Notamacropus eugenii: one gene and its partner. The protein of the gene in region 2 interacts with the protein of the main gene of each other region in a biochemical or structural test. Links are inferred from orthologs where the notes say so. Each region holds a gene or a part of one and is shown on either strand. Other genes may lie near its edges.

Region 1 (11,007 bases), on a different chromosome or scaffold from region 2:
CATCCCATTGGCCTAGTGGGATCTTCTTTGTTAGCATCATCAGGAAGCAGGAAAAATATTGGTGAGTTTTTTTTCAAAATACACTTAACAACAAAATAGGAAGATGGCTACAGTACAAATTGCAAGGCATCATAAATACAGTCAGAATCTATCCGGAATACAGTTTTCTGGGTGCCATAGTTCAGGAAGGACACTGTTAAGCTGGAGAGCATGTCAAGCCAGAAATCAAACATGTTCTAAACTTTTAAGAGACTTGATGTAGTCAGATGGCAAAGGACAGCAAAGAAGGATAAGAAAGGAAAGTGATGTTTCTTACCTGGTATCTCTTGTACTCTCCTGACTGATTTCTTTGAGATTGTCTGGCTTATGATGGTTTGGGAAGATGGTTCATCCTCTAAAGAACAAAACATGTTAACAGTTAAAAGTGAGAATGTATAGGGGGAAAAACCCCATAACACCCTATTCAGTTCAAGGGCCACCTCTTTAAGGAAGCCTAATCCTTGCTCTGGAAGCAGTGCTCTCTCCTCAACATGTTTTTTTTTTCTTCTAAACAAAATCTGATCTGTATCTTGCTCTATCACATTCCACACTGTATCATATTTGTCATGTCTCATCCTCCTCTTTGGGGAGAAAAACTATAATTTTTCATGTATTCCTAGCATTTAAGTGCCTTGCACATAGTAGCTAGTTGAATAAATAACTATTGAACACAATATCTCCTGTACTTATGTTTAAATTTTAAACATTTTAATGTTAATGTTTTAAAGCTACTTCTCTAAGTGTCTCCTACAAGGCCACAAACTAGAAGAATTTACTCACTTATACTCTTTTTAGCACCTAGCACAGTTCTTTGCACATATTGCACTTAGCAGATTTTAACTGCACTAAGGTTAAAAAAAAAAACTTGGAATTTACAAAGTCAGAAACACTGCAGGTAGTGGTGAAGACATATGAAAGGAGTCAGAAAGGGAAATTATTTCCATATATTCAGGTTTACTAGCAAAGTATGCAGAAATAGTACTGAAGAAGTGAAACCAGTATTTCCCTCTACAGGGAAATATGTACAAGAAGAGAAAGGAAGGATGGGCTGCAATGTGGTGCTGAAGAACTATATGCTCAAGATCATGAGATGAAAGATCCACTAAAGAGTAGAGAACATAGTAATTCTTTTACTTTTCTCAGTGACTGTTGCTTGAGCTGGGAGTGGGATCCAGAAAAGGTGACAGGACCCCAGCCCTGCCTTTAAGTGTGTGATCCTGCTGAACACACCCACACCCACAAAATTAATAAAATATTTTAGAGAAAACATGCAAAAGGTACAATAATGATAGAAATTTGGGTGAATGTGAAGTCTCTAAAACCAACGTGCCTTCAAATGTCATCAAATGCAAATAAAGAATACTAATGAACTTCACTCCCAACACTTTTAACAGATAATAAGATGAGAGAAGGGACCTGGGATTTTACCCATTTTCACAGAACTGGGGGAGGGGGCTACTCCCTCTAGCAACACCGCAGCATTCTACCTTCTTGGCAACTTACAGTATCAGACAGCTGCCTAGGGCGCTGAGAGGCTAATGACTTCCAGGGTGACAAAGTCAGTTTTGTCAGAGAAAGGAACTGGATCTGAATTTCCAGGCTTCAAGGTCAGCCGGATAGATAACCACTACCTCCCTTTGTCTCTCATGATGCAGACAAGGCCCATGCTTGTCTTCATTTTACTTAGGAGGAATCTGAAATGGAGGCCCAGAGATTCCATTAGACCGTGAACTCCTTGAGGGCAGGGGCTGTTCTTTGCCTCTTTTTGCTGGACACTTTGTAGGTGCTTAACAAATGTTTAATAACGGACTGACCCAGAGGTTAAACAGTTTGCCAAAACGATCTTCACAAAGCACTGGTCATTCCCCTACTCAGTAAACTTCGGTGGCTCCCTCCTCCCTCCTCTCTGTGCCTGGCTGTTCCATCTTCCTGGGATGTTTTTTCTCCCTCTGCTTCTTGGCTCCCTTCAAGACTCAAGTTCAAACCCTATCTTGTGCAAGTCTCCTCCGCTGCCCCCTCCCCTCGATGCGCAGTGACTTCTCTCGGAGCTCACTCCCAACTGGCCCTGCACACTGATGTGTGTCAGTGCTATGTTCTTATTTTGCACGCTGTTTCCCGATGGCAGGGGCTGTTCTTACACCATCAGTGCGTGTCACCCCGTCTATCACCTGGTAATTCAAACCCCAAGAGTGACTCACATCCTTTGCATGACTTTGTGCCTATGTGTCTGCCCCCTCCCCTACACACACACACACACACACACAGACACACACACACACAGACACACACACACACACAGATACACACAGACACACACACACACACACACACACACAGACACACACACAGACACACACACAGTCACACACACAGACACACACACACACAGACACACACACACAGACAGACACACACACACAGACACACAGACACACAGACAGACACACAGACACACAGACACACACACACACAGACACACACACAGACACACACACACACAGACACACACACACAGACAGACACACACACACAGACACACACACACACACACAGACACACAGACAGACACACAGACACACACACACACACACACACACACAGACACACACACACAGACACACACACACACACGTGCACCCCGGGTCCCCCATACCCACGCTGAGCACGGCGCCTCTCACTCAACGGAGGCTTCCCGGCCCGAGCTCCCCTGGGGCCAGGCTGCTCCCTAACTACGGTGGGTTCTCCTTTCTCCTCTTCCTTCTCAGCCACGGGCCCCCCCTTCCTCCCCGGCGGCCCCCTCCCCAGGGCCGGGAAGCTCTCCTAGAGGAATTCGCTCCGGTTCCCTGCGCCTTTTCCTCGGCTGCTCCGGCAGGAGCCCTCTGCCCTCCAGGTCCCGGCTAAGACCCCACCTCCTACAGGAGTCTGGGCTGACCCCGAACGCCGGACCCTGCGCTCCGAGGATGATCGGGGCCGGACCCCGCGCTCGTGCGCACGCTGCTGCCCCGGATAAAGCCCCGGGAATGCCCAACACAGTGCCCTGCCTCCCGCTATTGGGGGGCTGCCCCCTTTCCTTCTTCCTCGGTGGAGGGCGGGGGGCTCCGGGACCGCCCGCGTTCTCCGCCCGTCCCGCCAGCTCCCGATCCATTTCCTCCCGCACCTTAGGGTGTCCCAGCCACGAGCCCGTCCCTCGCGAGGGGGCGCGAGGAGAGGACCCCCCGCGGGGCGCGGAGCCGTGGCCGCCCGAGGCGGGAAACCTCGCGCTCTCCGGGGCGCGCGCGCCTCCCCAGCCCGTTACCTCGGCGGCGGCCACCGCCTCCGCCGCCCTCACCTTCCGAGGGCTGCAGGTCTCGCAGCCCTCTCCTCGTGGTGGCCGGCGAGGGCTGCGGCGGCGGCGGAGCCTCCTGCTGCTGGAGCCGGGTCGTTCTCCTCGTATTCATCTCTCCGAGTCCCAAGCCCGAGAGCAGAGAAGGCGGCCGAGGTCTAAGGTAATAGTAGGCTCTTCTCTCCTCCACTTCCTCTTTCCCGGGCACGGGGCGGAACTCTTGTGCCTGGGTCCGCTTTTCCACCCGGGCACTTCCCCCGGACGCGAGCGGCTCGAAGTCGCCGTACACTTGGGGCGGGAGCTCGGAGAACCTCACTTCCCGTCGGCCCCTGCGCCGAGCCATGGGGCTTCCGTCCGCGAGCGCGTCTCTTCCGCCGCCATCTTGAGGGCCGAGCGGGCGCCTCCCTTGTCGTAGCGGGGCCCTGGGTGTGACGTGCGCTGCCCATCCCTCGCCTGCCATGGTTCGCGGGCCTAGGATGGCCGGCCGGGTCCCTCTCCGGAGCGGCGGCGGGGGCTTGGCGCCCGTCAGGGAGGCAGCTGGGAGTCGTCGGGGCCGCGGCCGCCGCCGCTCTTGTTGCTGTTGCCGCCGCGGTGTGCGGGCTCCTCTGGGCCCATGGTAGCTCCCGAAGGTTGTGAGGCAGGCAGTGCCCGGCTCGGTCAGCTGCCGCTGGGTGTGTGTGTGTGTCACCCCCGCCCTCCTGGCTGCAGGCCCGCCAGAGGAGGAGAAGGGAGAGCCTGGCCCTCCTGCGCCGGGGGGCGGGGAGGGAGGCTCGAGGAGCCGGCCATCCCGGGCTCTCTGGCGAGCGTCACGGGGTGGGCCCGGCCGCCCGCCCGGGGCCCTCCCCGCCGGGAGGCCGTGATCCGGGGAGCCCGAGACAGCGCGGCCCGCGCTTCCTCCACCATTTTGTCGCATCTGTAGCCCAAGCGCCCGCGCCGACCGTGACCCCGTCCGCCCGAGCCGGCTCCGTCACCCCTTTCCTGACTCTGGTGAAAGGTTCAAGGGTCGGTCGGAGACCTTGACAGTTCCCGGGGTAGATGTTGCGGGGACTCATTTTTGTCTTCGCTCTCTGAAATGATCCCCCCTTCCCTCCCTCTCTCACTCGTACATCAGGAGTGGGAGCGGGAGAAAAAAAAAGCCTTGTTAATTGAAAAAGTAAAATAAAAAACTTGTGAAGTCACGGTGAAATGTTAGTCACTTAGTGAAAGCAAAAGCCACTCGGTTTTGATGGGAAAATCTCTGCCCGAAGAACGACCTAGTCGTTTTCCAAAAGCAACATTTGAGTAACGAAAGAAATGAAAAGAAAGTTTGTCCGTCAACCGTATGCTAAAATGATTCTGACGCTTACAGAATTTACCAGCGGATTACGGGCAGGAAACGTTTGCAAATCGGGGTGCTTGGTGCAGCTGATGGAAGGCTGCTTGTTCCGCTGCTTTCATGTAGTCCTGCCGGCGCCTCCGTTCCTCACCTTAAAATTAAGAAATTGTTTACATTCCTTGGAGCTCTTCCATAGATGAGCCTTTTAGAAACTGACATTCCTCCAACTGAAATTGACGAGTGTTTTCCACTTCATTAGCGACTTGGTAAATTACATGTATTTTTTTTTTAAATCTGCGGCATAAATTTGTTGTAGATTTCATCGTACAATCCCCAAGTTTAGTTTACTCTCAATCCAGCACTTGTTAAGTACCCGATCTGTGCCAGAGACTAGAATACAAAATGTTAAAAACTAGGTAGAAACAAGATAGTAGTAAACAATCCACATTAGAGGATACTCGTATTTAACAACCAATCTGAAGTACTGGAGTGCGGTAGTCATAATTGGTGAAAAGCCTTTTGTCTTTAAAAAAAAAATTCTATTTTAAGGATACAGTAACTAGCTTTAGTCTAATAATCATATCTCTTTGAGTCCAGGGAATATGATTTAGTGAATAAATAAAAAAGGATTGATGTTTAGGGTATCAGTTTTTATATAGGTGACAACTTGAGTATGCTTTGAAATTAGTTTAAGGAATTTAAAGTTATTAGGATCTCGTTTAAACTACTCTCGGTAAAAAAAACTTCATTATCTCAACTTTGTCCAAATGATCATAAATAAAGAATTAGTACATACAGTCTTGCCTTTCTGTGGTTTTTAATTATAAATAAAATATAGACCCTTGTTATAGCATTGGCTAAGGATACTTTTTGTATCAGGTAACATAATACAGGGACATAATAGTGCTTTTAGAAATCAGTAACTCATTTTTTACATATATGATATGAACACTGGTCTCCAGTAAAATCAGAACGTGAAAGATAAAAAAAGGAAGAACACTAAGAAAAATAGCTCTTTGTTGCTTTTTATTGCATTCAGGGAAGGGAAAATGAAAGTGGTCTATTTGAGCCTAAGGGATACGTACATGAGACCACAAGTTTTTTACTGCTTTTAAAGTTATTTAAAAGTATAAAGTAACTAGCATTTAGTATTTTAGAAAACTTCTAAAAAGAGTATATTATTAACATAGTCAACTGTAAAATTATTAAATTATACTGTCTACAATAAATCAAATGCTATATATACTGAATAGACATTGTCAAAGGATCCCTCAAGGGCCTCATTTTTTAACAGTAGATTAATATAAGCAAAAATAATAAGACACATCAAAAACTTACCTTTGGGCTCTTTTTGTTGTGGAAGGTATTTCTTTAATTTCTTGTGTGTGTGGTCTAGAAAGGAAGGGGTTCATCTACTATTATACTTACTGATGCGTTGCCAAAAATAGCTCGAGTGGTTTCCCCAAAGAAATCTTTTAAAAAAGAAAGAGCATAGACAATTTTAGACAGAAGTTTGCTTGTTTGTGGCCTTGGTCTACCTGGGAGGACTACTTATATCCTGGCCCCTCCTCTGTTTGTGAGGTGACAGCAGAAGCTGCAGATGCCTAACAACATGTGTGTTTCACCCAGCAACCCCTTAAACCTTAACCTAGAGAAAAGTTTTAATGTCAGAGCTGTCCAACAGAGAAGTTGTTTGTCTTCAGGAATGTCATCCCTATTGGGAAGATACATTTAGAGCTGGAAAGGACTTCAGAGGCCATCTAGTCCAACCCCTTATTTTACAGATAGGGAAACAGATCCAGAGAGATCAAGTGACTTGAAGGTTTACAGGTAATCAGGGGTGAGATTTGAGCCACTAAGCCTCTGATTCCAGGGCCAATGTAATTTGTGTACCCTACCGGAGAATTTATCTCTTAGGTTTGTAGAAGGGATTCCTTCCTGTCAGATTAGCTTAAGACCAGCATAAACTTTTGTCATTTCAGTTACCAATCTCTGAAAATTACTATAACAACCCCTAATAAGGGTTTGGCTAGAATTTGTAATTCTCCATTGGGAAAGACTGCAACCCCAGTTTCTTCTTAAACTGGGGAGAACTACAGATCCCAGTGGCTTTTGTGACCAGTCAATCCAGGAGTGGTTTGATTACAATTTTAAAATATTTCTTAGTAAAGTGCCTAGAATGTCATGAAGAAAAATTTCATCTTTTAAAGCACTGAACTAAATTTCATTCTGAACTTCCCTTTTTACTGTGGAGGGGCACTACCCTGTCCCCAGTCATTCAAATTCAAAACCTTGTTGTCCTGGCCATTTGCTATTCCTCACTCTTGTCCCTCATATTCAGTCTGTTGTCAAATCTTGTCATTTCTAGCTCTGTGACATCTCTCATACATCCCATTCTCTCTACTCATACAGCCAGTACTCCAGTTCATACTCTGTCCTATCTCCACTCCACTACTGGAGTAGTTTTTTTCTAAATTAAAGACCTAACTGACATTGAGTTCTGTGGCTCCCTATTCCAAGATCAAATTAAAGACTTTGGTTTGACTTTTAAAGCTCTTCGTGATTTGTCCTCTTCCCCTTTGAAATCTTACACTTTACTTGATTCTACACACAATGTGATCTAGATACAGTGACCTTGCAGTTCTGTGGTCGTGATGTTCCATCTCTTGTTACCATGCCTGGCACTCATTCCCCTATCTTAGAGATGGATACTATTAAGACACAAACAGGGGTGTGAGTGTGTGTGTGTGTGTGTGTATAATATGTAGATTATATATCTATCTGTTCTTTCTTTGGATGTAGATAGTGTCTTCATATGTCCTTTATTTTTTAATTTTTGGATTTATAACAGTGAAAGGGACTTAGTCTTTTGAAGTCATTCTTAAAACAATATTGCCGTTACTGTCCACAATGTTCTCTTGGTTCTGCTTATTTCACTTTTCATCGTTTCATACAGGTATTTCCATGCTTTCTAAGATCATTGAGCTCATCATTTCTTATAGTATTCCACTGCAACCATATATCACAATTTGTCCAGCCATTCTCCAATAGATGGACATCCCCTCAATTTCCAGTCTTTGACACTGCAAAGAGAACTTCTATAAACATTCCATTCACATTCAAAGTTATAATTAGTTTATGAATTTCTCTCCATCTTATTTTTACTCAGTTTTGTTTCTTAGCCTCTCTTTTTACCCTATCCCTGTCACCTTATCTTCTCTCCCTCTCAAGTCCCTCTCCTACTTCATCCACCCCTCCAAGAGTCTCTTCATCTCTCACAATCTCAATCAGTACATTCCTCTAAAAGTCCCTCCCCTAGTTTTCTCATTTTTGCATGCTCAGAAGACTTCTACACTCTCCTGGAATATTCTTTCCTATCATCTCTGCCTCTTAGTTTTTTTGACTTCCTTCAAGATTGAGTTCAAAGCCCACCTTCTGTGGAAGGCTTTTCTCTGACTCATCTCTGCCCCCACTCCCAGATGTGAATGGCTTCCCCCATTGATGCCATATGCTCTATATAGATTATGTATGTAGTTAGTTATTTGTTACTATCTCCCCATTAGACTGTAAGTTCCTGGAGGGAAAGGGAGATTTCCCCCCCATTCTTTGCATACCCAGTGCCAAGCACAGTGGAGGGGGGCACAAAATATACACTTAAATGCTTATTGGTTGACTGATACTAAGTACTTTTAACAGTGGAGACTGACTGGTGATGCAGTATCTTCTGAAGGAATGGGGATCCAGGTTTCTGTTAAGTCCAAGAAATTGTAAAGACTAAGAGGAAGCCATCTAAGAGGAAGAGGAATTTATCAACAACAGAGCAGGATTCCAGAGGGCACAAGGAAAGGGGAAGACAGAGTAACAGAATTGCAGAGGTGTATGGTTGAGGTTGATGGGAATGAGAATAGAGAATGCTATAGCAAGGGAAGATTTTCAACTTGGCAGATGATGACTGAATCACAAACATGCTTAGGTCTCTCCAATAATTAAAACAATAATTACAATCACATTTACATAGCTCCTTAAAGTTTACAAAGCACTACCAAAATAAAGTGCAAATGAGTACATGATTTAGGTATAAAGGCTGATACTATAAACAAATTAGGGGAGCAAGGAAGAGTTCATCTGTTAGATTTATGGTGAATGGAGGAATTTATGACCAAACAAGAGATAGAGAACATTATGAAATGCAAAATGAATAATTTTGATTACATTAAATTGAAAAGTTTCTGCACAAACAAAGCCAATGCAACCAAGGTTAAGAGGGAAGCAGAAAATTGGGAAAGAATTTTTACAATTAATATCTTTCATAAAGGCTTCATTTCTAAAATATATAGAGAACTGAGTCAAATTTACAAGAATACAAGTCATTTTCCAAATGATAAATGGTCACAGGATATGAATAGGTAGTTTTCAGAGGAAGAAATTAGAACTATAGTCGTAAGAAAAAATGCTATAAATCAGCATTGATCATATATTGGCTCTGACCACACTTGAACAATTAATATTTCTTCAGTTACTTAAATCTGAACTTTATTTGCATAAAAATGTTTTATAATCATGTTCATATAGTTTCTGGGTTTCTCTTGGCAGCTGTAATCTCAGGTATTTTATTCTTTCCATGATTGTTTTAAATAGGGTATCTCTTACATCTCTTGTTGCAGGTTTGAACTTTTAAGTGAAGGATGAACTGCGCTGCTAGTCTTAGCCTTGTGCTTCTTTTTAAATTTCAGGGTAGTTAATCCTTTATTTATGTATTTTACATGAATAACATGATATGCTTTACTGAATACTTTATTACAATTAAGTAAACTATATTGCTAGCATCCCCCATAGCAAATTATTAACCCTGTCAAAAAGGAACTTAGCTTTGTGTTGAAAAAGACAGCTCGAAAAAGTTCTTCATTCCCAATGCCTTAAGTTCCTTAATTACCTGTACTTTTGTTATTTGAATTTCTGATCCAGTCAGTCTGACTGGAATTGCTGTCTCAAAAAATACTAGTGACTATCAAATTGCCTAATACAGCCTAATTAATTTCAATGCTAGTTACTTATTACCTGTATTTCTGTGAAGGATCTAGACATTTTTGATCATCTTTTCCTTCTAGATACTCTCACTTTTCTTATGAATGTTATATGTTCTTGGTTGTTGTTACTATAATAATGTGTGTATAGTGCTTTGAGGTTCCCAAAGAGCTTTCTTCACAACAGGACTGACATGAGTAGTTCAGTGCAGGTGTTATTATCCCCATTTTGTGGATTTAGAGGTGAAGGCTCTCAAGGGTACATTTCTTGAATGGTCCACTACCTAGTAAGTTTGATAATCAGTTGAAGGAAATGGGGTTGTTTATCCTGGAGAAGAGAAGACTTGAGGGTAAGCAAGGAGGGGAATGTTATAGCTGTGTTAAAGTATTTAAAAGATTGTCACCTGGAAGCAGGTTATATTCCTTTTGCTTGGCTCCAGAGGAAGAACTGGGATTAGTGGATAAAAAAAAGTAAAAGGGAAATTTTTCCTAATAATTCAAGCTGTCCAAAAGTGGAATGGGCTTGTTCAGGATATAATGGATTCTGCCCTCACTGGAGGTTTTTGAGGGATGCTTTCTTCATGTTTGCATTGGGCTCTTCCAGCTCTGAAATTCTGTGATTCTGCATATTTAAAGTGACCAGAATAATTTAGAGTACCTTACTTCATAGGTTGGAAAGTAGTTAAAGAATTAATAATAGCTGTCATTTGTGTAATGCTTTAAGATTTGCAGAGCACTTTGCATGTAAACTCCCTTGATCCTCACAGCACGCCAGTGAGGTAAGTGTTCTTATTATTCTAGAACTGAGGAAACTGAGGCTGAGAGAAGTGATGGGACTTGCCCAGGGATTGCCCAGCTAATAAAAGGACAAATGACAACTAGCTGATGTCAGCAGAAGACGGGAGCATATTTTTAGAATATTAATAATTTTCTGAAAATAAGAATTTTGAAGTGCTACTTACCCAACAAAATGAGGTAAGTACATGTTGTTGTTAATAATGGTAACTTGTAGTTACATAAGCTTCCTTACAGGAAGGGTAGAAAAAACTACTACTCCCAGCATTCCACTGGACACCTTTTCCTTGGGGCAAAGTTCACAGTCACATTGACCGGGGAAGATTTTGAGGCCCGGTTGTGTGTAGCTACCTGTTTTTCCAGTCCGGATTGAAAACTGAAAAGTTTCATGCCTTTGGAATTTGATTATTGAAGTGGGCTTTGATTCAGAATCCACTATTAAGAACGCTTTTCCTGTCATCAGGAATCTGTGAGTAAGTAAACTCAGTTTCTTCATCTGGAACATAGAAGGG
Region 2 (11,118 bases):
AGGGAGAGAAAATAAGTGCTTGTTATTTTTTAAAAATAAAAGTTAAAAAACCAAGGGATAGAACCTGATTGATCAGATCCTAAAAAGTTAAAGTTAGGAATATGAAGAAATCCACATCTCCAACTCATCATAGCTGTTGCAGCCCAGTAGAATTCCTTTCCTTCCCCAATGGAAAGAAAAGATTTAAAACAAGAAAATAGAAAAACTATGAAAATTGTTCTAAAATATTTATAGGAGCTCTCTTTGTGGTAGCAAAGAACTGGAAATGGGGGAATGCTCATTAGTTGGAGAATGGCTAAACAAATTGTGGTATACGACTGTGATGGAATACTACTATGCTGTAAGAAATGATGAACAGGTTGATTTTAGAATAATGTGGAAAGACTTGCCAGAAATAATAAAGAATGAAATAAGCAGAACCAAGAGAATGTTGCGTACAATGACAGCGACATTGTTTAATAATAACTGAAAAAATAAGCTATTCTGAGTATATAAATATTCAAATCAACTACAAAGGAGTATGAGGAAGATGCTACCCAACTCCTGAGAAAGAGAAGATAAATGGAAGGACACAGTATGGTTTTATATGCATGTATATGTCGATGTGTCAAATGGTGGCCTTCTCAAGGGCAGGGTGGGGAAGGAAGGAGGGAGGGAAACAGTTCAGAACTTAAAATATAACAAAAAAATTTTTTAAAAAGAGAATAAAAACTATGAACATTTCCAAATGTGCAGGCTAAGGTATCAAACATTCCAGACCCAGAAGAGAGGAGGACTGGAAGATCACAAAGCCCCTTCCCCAACCCATTTACACAAAACACTGAGTTACACACACACACACCCAGAGTACTACTTACTATTCCTGTTGTTGAAGACTGACACAGACAACGCCTGCTCCACATCTTTCAGCTTGATTTCCTCTCTCTGCTTTCCACTCCTCCAGAAATCTAAAGCCACATCTGTTATTCTTTCAGCTCCTGCATTGCTATGAGATGTGTACAAAAATAAGGACTTGCTGCCTTAGTTGCTGTGAAGACAGCCCAGAATCCTTCATTCTTTCCAAATCCCATCTTACCTGAGAAAGATGAAGATGGCTTTCTGATAGGAGATGCCATCTATCAAGTCATAGTAGTCTAGGAATGGCTTGATAGCATCTATAAGCCCTGCATGCATCTTATCCATTTCATCAAATATAAAGATGGACCTTGCACAGGCACTCACATTCCCCCGAATCCACAACTGTAACTGGTCCTGGATTATAACAAACCAAAAATACCCAGGGGAGACTTCAGTAAGAATAATGTAGAAGAATGTTACCCTGGAAATAGCTAAAATGCCTAAGGAATCCTTCTTTTAATGATATCACTTTAATGTCATGCCAATCTTTTTTCTTTTTTTATCTTTTGTCATAATTAGAGAAGAAATAGGAAAGAAAATTATCCTTTATAGTCTAATGAGAAGGATATGGGTTACTGAGTTATAGCATGTTACCATCTATTGATTATCTTTCCAGATAACTGATTATTGGAAAAAATGTTATTGATTATCTGAAAAGAAATCATTTTAGGTTCTAGTTGAATAGTACTGATTATAAAAGAAAATAAAGCACAATTAAAAATAATCTAATGAACTAAAAGTAGCTTATGACCTCAGAATAGTATATCTACACCAGTAAAAGAAATAATGAAGAAAAGCAAATTTAAGTATTCTTACCCATTCTCAAAAAAACCCTTCCCAAATACTTTTGCTAAGGCAAAGTGAAATCAAACAGATAGGTTATAGAAATGGTACGACACGAAGAAGGGCTACACTGGCAGAAAATGTGAGTTCTCGGCTAGCTCTGCAACTAACTAGCTATGTGAGCTTGAATAAATAACTTGCCCTCTCTGGGTCTCAACTTCCTCATATGGAAAATGAGACTTCTCTTCCCTCCCAAAGGCCAGGCACTTCCAGTGTCCCATTTGATTCCTGAATGTCGATCTCACGAATTCAGCACTATGGACATTACAAAGGAAGCATTAAAAAGCTCTAACAGCTGAACTGCTCTTGTGCATCAAACACATCTGCCTCCCAAATGCTGTATAACCCTTTACAAAGGTGCAAAATATAATACAAAAGGGACATCCAGAAAGAAATTCTCAAAGATCATTCATTTGTTTAGCATATTATCCCATAAACTTCATCATCACCCACACAAAAACATCAAACAAAGCCCAACCCCTGTGCAGCTGGGAAAGATTCCAGATTATCTTCTTGCCTTATATTGTACGATGTTCCCAGCATGTGGAAAGTGCAATGTGGCCACAAATAGGTGCACATAATCACTGTTAAGTCCACCCTCATAAATATGCTCAGCTATGATTTTGCTGACAAAATTTTTCCCTGTGCCAGTCCATCCATGCAGGGAGAGGGTGAGAGGTTTCTTGGACTTTGGGTTACTTATGAACCCGGACACAGCATTTAATATCACTTTCTTTGCAAGGTGCTGTCCAAAGAGCTTGCTGTCAAGGTCCTTCTGTAATGCTGAGGAAAAAACAAAAGTTGTCATATACAAGTAAAAAACTGGTTGGCAGACTAGATAAAACATACTACCAGCTAAGGATTGGTTCAGATCTTCTGGGATGCTAACCAGCTATAACTAGCAGTTGACTAAAATAACCTGACTCTTCAGCCCCAAAGAAATTCTGTGGAGGACTCCCCCTCCCCCAAACCCTTGCTATTTCTTCCTTGCTGCAAACTTCCTGGGCCCCACCTATGCCAACGACACATCATCTTCCAGCTTTTTCAAACAGGAACAAAAACTGTCCATCAGTTTGGCAGAAAGGCCTCTGCCTCTTCAGTGTCTACATCACATCTAAGAATTAAGTAGCCAAATCTAACCTTACTTTATGGCTTCCTATCTTGGGAAAGGAGGAAAATGGGGCTCATGTAGATTCAACCACCACCTGTACAACTGAGGGAGACAAGACTCCCTCTTTCAATATCTCTCCTCTTCTCAATGAAGAATATACTTTTAAGAAGATTCAATTACAAAAGTATTCTATTTTCTCTTGCAAAGAAGGCTGAAGCAGGGTCTACAAACTCCATTTTTTGTTGGAGGCAGCAAGCAGCTCCCTATCTCAACTTCCAACCTCTTCCCCACAAAATCTCTGCACTTACCCAGGGAGCCCCCACTACTCTTTCCATGGCACCCAAAATGTTCTCCCTTGTCCTTACCAGATACCACCACTCCTTATCCCCTCTCCCTCCCTCCCTCCCCAATCTCCAAGTTTTACTTTTCTATGATCTCCATCCTTGAGGAAATACAATACAATGGAAAGACCACTGGACTTCAGAGTCAGGCACCCTGGGTTTTAATTCTAACTTTGCTATTTTAATAATGGCTCAAAATTCTGGATTACAAAGTGTTTTACTGACAATACTATGAGGTGAGGGTTTTCTCTCTTTTTCTTCTGATCCAGACCTGTGATTTCATCTATAAGAGGGAAAGTTTGTTGCAGAAACTCCCTTCATCAATACAGATGGACAACTCTCTGGTTATTCATCCATATAATTTTCTGGGGACACTTAAGTGACTTACCCAGGGTCATACAGGACTTGAACCTGGCTCTTTCTGACTCCAAGCCTAACTTTTATCCACTAAACTCATTCTTGCCTCTCCACGTGGTGACCTCTGCCAAGAAGCATGGCCAAGTCTTGGGCCAGTTAATTATGGTTGGTTCTCACCAATTAGGAGCATGGGCCCAAGCCTGTCAAACTGGACAAGGCATGCAATCTCACTCAAGCGTCTTCCTCTTTAACCTAACCCAGCAACTCCTTCTCCTCCCCTTTAGCAACTATAATCAAATCAATACTACCCTTTTTTTCTGGAAAGGATTTGCCAAGCAAGCATCATGCCAGGCCCAATGCTAGGTACTGGGCATACGAAAACACAAAACAGCAATGCCGACTCAGGGGGAGTTTACATTTTAACTGGAGAGACAACAAGGTCATATAAGTGTATATGGAACAAACATAAAAAGAATAAATACAAAGTAGTTAAACAGTAGTTTGAGAAAGGAGGCCCCTAGAATTTGAGGAATCAGGAAAAGCTTCAAGTAGAAGCAAACAACTGAACTGCATCTGAAAGGAAGAGAGGGGCCCTATGAGGAAAAGGAGGTGCTCCAGGAATAGGGCAAAGGTCTGGAGATGGGAGATGGCGACCAACTGTGCTATTATTGTTCCACCCACCATCTTACCCAAACTCCCTGCCCTAGTCACCACCATCCCAGTAAGAAAGGCAGCTCTAGAGGGGCAGGGGCCCTCTCAATTCTGTTTTTATCCGCACGGTTTCTGTCGCAGCCAGGGGGCGCTGTGGAGAGTCCGCGGCTTGGAGCGGTCAAGCTCGGAGTTGGAGTCCAGTCCCAGACACCTCAGGCCACCCCTTCCCTCCGCACCAGCACGTGCCTCCGGGGCGGTCGAGGGCAGTGAGCTGGGCGGACACTCCCCAACCCCGGGGCCTCACTCGACGCGGACCCACTTGTGGAACCCTGGGCAGGCTGCTCGTCCTCTCTAAAGGGCCGGCGAAATGACGGGGTTGGCCCTCACGACCCCCAAAGTCCCCCCAGGACCCCCGCTTCTCCCCACATCTCAGAGCGGGTCTCTCCACACTCCTGGCCTCCAGCTTCCGGGGAGCACCCAGGGTCCGGAGGTGCTCATCGCCCCACTGTACTGATGGAGAAACTGAGACTCGCGAGAGGACGGGGCCGCCCTCCCTGCCCCCGGCCCGGCCCCGGCCCCCGGCCCGGCCCCGGCCCTACCCTCGCGGCTGAGGCTCCGCTTCTGGCTGCAGCACTCGGTGAAGAGGCAGTAGAGGCGCGGGTAGGAGATGTAGCCGGTGAGCACGCCGGCCAGGGCCAGCCCCAGGCTGATGGGCTCCACGGCCCGCACCAAGGGCGGCGCCAGCAGCAGCAGGCCCAGGGCGGCCCGGACCAGCTTCATGCCCGGACCGCACGGAGCCGAGCCACACCGAGCCCGCCTTCCCGGCCACGGCTTCGGCCGGTGAAGATGACAGGCCGCCGCCGCCGCTTCCGGCTCCGCCCCTCCTCTACCGCCCGCCGCCATCTTTGTGAGGGGAAAACACTTCCCGCGCCGCCTCCGAGGACGGGCAGCGAAGCCGGAGCCGGCCATCTTGGAGTGGGGCAAAGAGCCGGCCTCCTCCCTCCCCTCCAACTGCTTAAGACTCTGATTCCAGACTTTTTAGTCTCAGGACCATTTTACACTCTTGAAAATTATTGAGGACCTCAAAAAACTTTCCTTTACAGGAGTTATCTTTGTCCATATAGGTGGACAGAGTGGATAGTGGATAGAGCTGCTAGGCCAGTTAGACGTAAGTTCAAATTCGGCTGTATGACCTTGGGCAAGTCATATTCATCTGTCTGCCTTAGTTTCTTCAACTAAAATAAGAATAATAGCCCCTCCCCCCAAGGTTGTTGTGAGGATCAAATGAGATAGCATCTGTAAAGCACTTGCAGTTCCTGGCACACATATACATGTGTATGTATGTTAATAATCATTTAATATCATTTTTGGACTTTAATAAGGGCTAGAACCTGAATTAATCAATCAGAAGAAGAGCCTGGCCCAAACAACCTCTTTATTCTCTGAGTAAACTCAGAGAATACCTCTTCCTATGTCAACAAGGCTAGAGGGGGCTTTTCCTTTTTCCTCTGTTTAAGGATGTGACCCTTAATCGGACACAGTATCTTTTTTCTGTATCTTAGTATTTTGTGGACATTTAAATGTTATAACATGTTAATAGTAAAGAAAACACAGATATCCTGGGTCATAATTTCAACTGGCACTTTGTCAACTCTCTTATTGTATTTACAACTTATTCAATTAAGAAAATTCCTTTCTCATGGTATAAACACATAGAATGTAATTCTGAGGGAGGGACACAGATATCCTGGGATTGTCCTAAAACAGATTTAAGCCTTGTCACTCTTGTATCAGTCAGTCAGAACTTATATTTTGTCTCTTTGTACAAGTTCTAGTTTAGACTAGCTCAAAGTGAATAAACAATATGCATTAACATATCACCTACCCTGTTTGCCTCCTTTAACCAAATTTCCAGATCAGCAATGTATATATACATATATATACATATACGTAAATACATACACACACATATATATATATATATATACATAAGTACTTAATAAATGTTTGTTCCCTTCCTACAACTTAAAACTTGATACAATTTTAAAATATTCATTTATTAATTCATTTAAAAATGACAATGTATCACAAGTGAACATGAATGTTTTACAAAAAATAACCCTATTTTCCAAAACAATGAATTAGTGAGAAAGCATTGCTTTACAAATCTTTTCAAATTTTGACTTAATGGAAGACACCTGATTTTCCTATCTGCTTCTGCATTGTATATTGTGATACAGTTTTGACTGAATATATGAATAGGACCAACTGTGTGTAGTTGGAAAAGGGAGGAGTATTTAAATAGGCAAGTAATATCTTAGTATTTTTAGGAAAATAATTTTGATCTCAGGCACCCCCTGAAAAGGTCTCAGACACCCCAGGGTTCTAAGGACCACACATTAGGAATTCGACCTTTCCAGGGTATCTTGATGTGTCAAGATTCTGAGAGCCTGCGACCATCTAGTCCACTTTTTCCATTTTACAGATGAGGAAACTGAGGCCCAGGAGGTTAAATGACTTGCCTAAGGTTGTACAGGTGGTAAACTATAGAGGGTAGATTTAACCCAGGCCTTTGGTCTCCAGAACCAGTGAGCTTTCATACTGGAGACTGTTTTCTTCCTGTAGAAGACAATGGATTTTGTCTTGGCTTTTTTGTCCTTAATATTCACTTTGTTGTCACACAACTGATAGGGATATTTTCTAATGCTTGTATCAGATTTCTAGGGTAGTTAGGCTCTTTCTTGTAAGCAACTCCCAGTGTTACATCGAACATTAAAATTGTGCCCTGAGTTTGGATGTAATAATCCTTCTCAGACCACCAAATTTCTCTTGGTTAACTGTATCCTAAACATTGAATTTAATAGGACTACTGTTAGCATGGAAAACAAGGGGAAGGACCTCAACATCCAAGGTGACCACATCCTTCTCAAATTCACCAGTCAAGTGACATTTTCCAAATGTGGCTTTTTTCTTATTACCATCTGACCTACTAATACAAGTTTGAACTGAACTTGGGGTCTTCCTTGGGCAGCCTTGCTGATGGCTCTTCTAAAAGTTATCTCTCTGTCTGAATGAATTATCTGATTTCAAGGTAAATGCTTTTCTCACTATACATCACCTTAACTTCAATGGGACTTGGTTTCCCCTTCTGTAAAATGAGGGAGTTGGCCTCCAAGAACCCTTATAGGTCTGAGGTTCTGTGATTCTTCACAGGAAAGGCAGACTAGATGTGTTTGTACTGCCCACTGGTACTAGAGTCTGCCACAACCAAATTCTCCATAAAGAGACTTGTTGCAACTAGAAAACACTTCTCCTCAATAAGGCAGTAAAAGGGCCTTGGTTAGTCTGTTCAATTCTACTATCAGAATTCACTAGTCATTTGGCAAATCCTAAGATCATAAAGAGCCCACCTCGTGTTCAACCTCTTTATTTTATAGATAGGGAAGTTGTGACTTGAGAACACGCAGGAAGGAAGGAAGCACAGAAGGCAAATCACATGGCCGAGGTCTAGCAGACCACTGCAAATATGCCACAAAACTGAATACAACTGGACTGCCTACTATGTGTTAGGTTAAATATTAGAAATACAAAGATAAAAATGAAAATCTGCCCTTGATGATCTTTCATTGACATTTGATAGACTGAAATCACTATTCCATAGATGTGTACAAAATATATTTTTTTTACTTTATCTATGACAGAAATTATACCTATATATAAATCTATAATCTATCATTTCATTTGTATACAGAACTCTCTACCAATGAAGATAGGCATACTTGTCAGTGAATCAGCCATCAGTCAAAAAACATTTATTAAGTGCCTCTTATGTGCTAGGCACTGTGCCAAAAGCTAGGGATACAAAGAAAGGCAAAGTGTCTGCCCTCAAGGAGCACAATCTAAAAGGAAAAACATGTAAAACCATGTAGAAACAAGATATATACAGGATAAATTTTAGATAATCAATGGGGGGAAGGCACTAGAATTGAGGGATTTGGGAAGGCTTCATGTGGGTGGGGTTTTAGCTAGGACTTGAGCCAGGGAGTGATGAGGAAGGGGAGCATTCCAGGCATGGAAGCAGCCAAAGGAAATGCTTGCTCAGATGTAATATTTCATTCAAGGAAGAACAAGGAAGTTGATGTCCCTGGATAGTGAAATACATGGGGTTGTTGGGAGGAAGTCTACCATGTCCTAAGTCTACCACTTAGGAATACTTGGCTTATGAATGCCAGGGCTAGGGCTCACACATACAAAAATCAATATAACTATCACCCTCAAGAAGTTTATATTCTGTTTTTTTTTTTAGAATAAAGTTTTATTTATATCATTTTTTTTCACATCACCTATTCTTTCCCAATGTTCCCTTTCTCTTGTCTTGCAGAAAAGTTTCCCGCATAATTGTGATAGGACCCTGTCCAAAGAGAGGTCATTCTCCTGACTGAGATTAATTGCCTGTTTGGTAAACCTGCTTCTCAATGTCAGCTAAGAAAGAATGGAGGGGACTACTCTACTACTAAGCATATCCTGTCATTTTATGCTTGTTTACTTTGCAGTGAAGAAAAGGCTTTTTGGTTGGCTGCATCAGCTGGCTTCCCTAGTTTTTCTTTCCTTGTGGTGAGCAAGGCAATACCTGCTGTTAAGCCTCTAGGTGTGAGAAGAAGTACCAGGGCCAACAAACAGGTCCTACATATGGCTCGGAACATATGATGTCTTTTTCTTTCTGTCTATTTGTTGATTCTTTCCTACTTTTAGGTGACATGTTAGAAATGAACCACACTGTGACCCTATAAGCTTTGAAAGATTAGGGGAGTCACAAGTGGCCCAGGATCTGGAGTCCATCCCAAAGTGTGTCATTTTCATCAGCAACAGCAGCAGAGTGGAGAGGCATCAGCACTGCTGTGAGCAGTGAACTGCTGGACTAGGTGTAGCAAACTCATCAAGGGGCAACTTTTCCAGTACACATTCCAGGCCACATTCATAAGCAGACTTGCTGGGACAAATGTTTCCTGACGGTGGCTATAAGCTGGAGCCCACTCTCCTCGGGGACTGAAGTAGCATGAACCCCAGCGTGGAGGGGATGTTTGTATTTCTGACCAATATATCTTCTCAACAAACATCCTTTGGTAAAAGCTAACTGATATTAATTGGTTAAATAGTATTGGGATGCTCATCACTGGGGCAATAAATGGGGGAGATACTAACTGGGGAACATGTTATAACGAGGGGTTGAGCCAATAATATTAAAGGCATTTTCTACTCCTCAGGGGTATCCTATTACCCAGAGGGGGGATGGAGCCTGCCCTCTGGGGACTGGTTTTCATTGGGGAGGGAAAGTAGGAGTTAGAATAAGGATGCAGAGTATATAAGAGCTAATAACAATAAAAGAGGGGAGCAGAGTCTAACAAAACTAAGCAACACATTAAAAATATCTGACATATATGCAGTGTCCAGACCTACATTCCTCCACATCTGCATAGGAGGTACCTTCCTCTGTCTCTTCTTTGGGTTCAAGGTTGGTCATCATAATTTGATGGTTTCCATTGTTATTTCCATTTACATCATTTGATGCTTTATAAACAATTTTCCTGGTTCTGTTAACTTCAGTTTACAATAGTTCATGTTTTCTCATGCTCTCATCCAGCCATCTTCCCTAACCCATCACTACCCTTTCCATTTCTTCTGCAAACTTGAATCAAATCAATACTACCTCAAATCAACTGTTTCTGGAACCACTGTTTCTGGAAAGAGCATGTCAATTAAATGTTGCTCCCCCCACACACACCTCAGAGAATTTCCAGACCAAAACCACCTTCCCTAGCAAGCCTCCTCTTTGTGTGCTACTTCCCCTTTTAGAATGCTAGCTCCTTGAAGGCAGGGACTGTTCTTGCTTTTTTGTATTTATCTCTAATTACAGGTGCTTGTAGAATAGTCCATCACTGTGACCATACTTAAAGTCATTACAGCTAACAGATTCTGCCAGGATCACCTCCTTGTCACATAGAGCACCAGCGCAGGACTTTAGTGGAAGTCAGTCCTCAATGCATTACCAGATCATGGGATTTTAGGAACACATGCCCCTGCCTGGGCTGATTTCTACAGCCACTCCATGTTTTCTCTCATAGGGACAACAACTGATTACAGGAGGCCAAATCAATAAAGGAGTAGTACTACATTTGCAGTAAGAAGACCTGAGTCCAAATTCCATCACTGCCACTTATTACCTGTGACCTAGGGCAAATCATTGACCTTTTCTGTATCTCTCTTCATCTGTAAAATGAGGGGGTTGGATTAGATGACATCTATTTGAGCTCCACATCAACAATCCTGTAATTACTAATACAGCTCACAAATCTATAGCATTTTACAACAAAAAGCACTTTCCTCAGAGCCTATGAGGTAGGTAGTGTAAGTATATTATTAGTTTAATGAATGAATGAAAAAGCATTCATTAGATGCTTACTATGTGTTCATCTCAAAAGGCAAAGTGAATAATCCCTCAATTTGTGGAGGACTTTACATTTTCTTAATTGACAGGCCCTCAAATACTATATTTTGGACCTGACTTCCCTTGAATCTAAATTTTCTGCCTGTAGCACAAACATTTGAGAACATTTCAGGAGTTTTATAGCCTCCTATCACAGGATGATAACTATCTTCCCCTTCCTGAGTGAGGCCTAATTTGAGAGAAAACCTCAAGGAAACCTACTACTATCCAAGTGGCAATATTTTTAATGGGAAGTAATCTTGTAAAATGTGTCAATGCCTGATAAAACATGTTTTTTTATGTCTTTTGAGCTGGACCTGAAAAGTCCACTTCAGTCACTCAGGTTTGTCCTGGGGCTGGAGAATACAGAACCCTAGCTCCCTATACACCTGAAATGCCAGCCACCAGCAGATTTAGAAGAAGGTAAATCTCCC

What was found.
Region 1: the proteins of TOR1A (region 2) and TOR1AIP1 form a complex in vitro, tested with the Homo sapiens proteins (2 studies listed by BioGRID and IntAct). The link is inferred for Notamacropus eugenii from reciprocal best matches to the Homo sapiens genes TOR1A and TOR1AIP1.

What each region holds. Positions count from the first base shown.
Region 1 is NC_092873.1:465,740,476-465,751,482, forward strand, and holds the start of TOR1AIP1 (torsin-1A-interacting protein 1), read right to left. Parts: upstream 4,660-11,007; 5' UTR 4,275-4,659; coding exon 3,335-4,274; intron 395-3,334; coding exon 317-394; intron 1-316. UniProt on the Homo sapiens protein: Required for nuclear membrane integrity. Induces TOR1A and TOR1B ATPase activity and is required for their location on the nuclear membrane. Binds to A- and B-type lamins. Possible role in membrane attachment and assembly of the nuclear lamina.
Region 2 is NC_092872.1:481,390,069-481,401,186, forward strand, and holds the start of TOR1A (torsin-1A), read right to left. Parts: upstream 5,077-11,118; 5' UTR 4,981-5,076; coding exon 4,800-4,980; intron 2,524-4,799; coding exon 2,258-2,523; intron 1,252-2,257; coding exon 1,076-1,251; intron 986-1,075; coding exon 858-985; intron 1-857. UniProt on the Homo sapiens protein: Protein with chaperone functions important for the control of protein folding, processing, stability and localization as well as for the reduction of misfolded protein aggregates.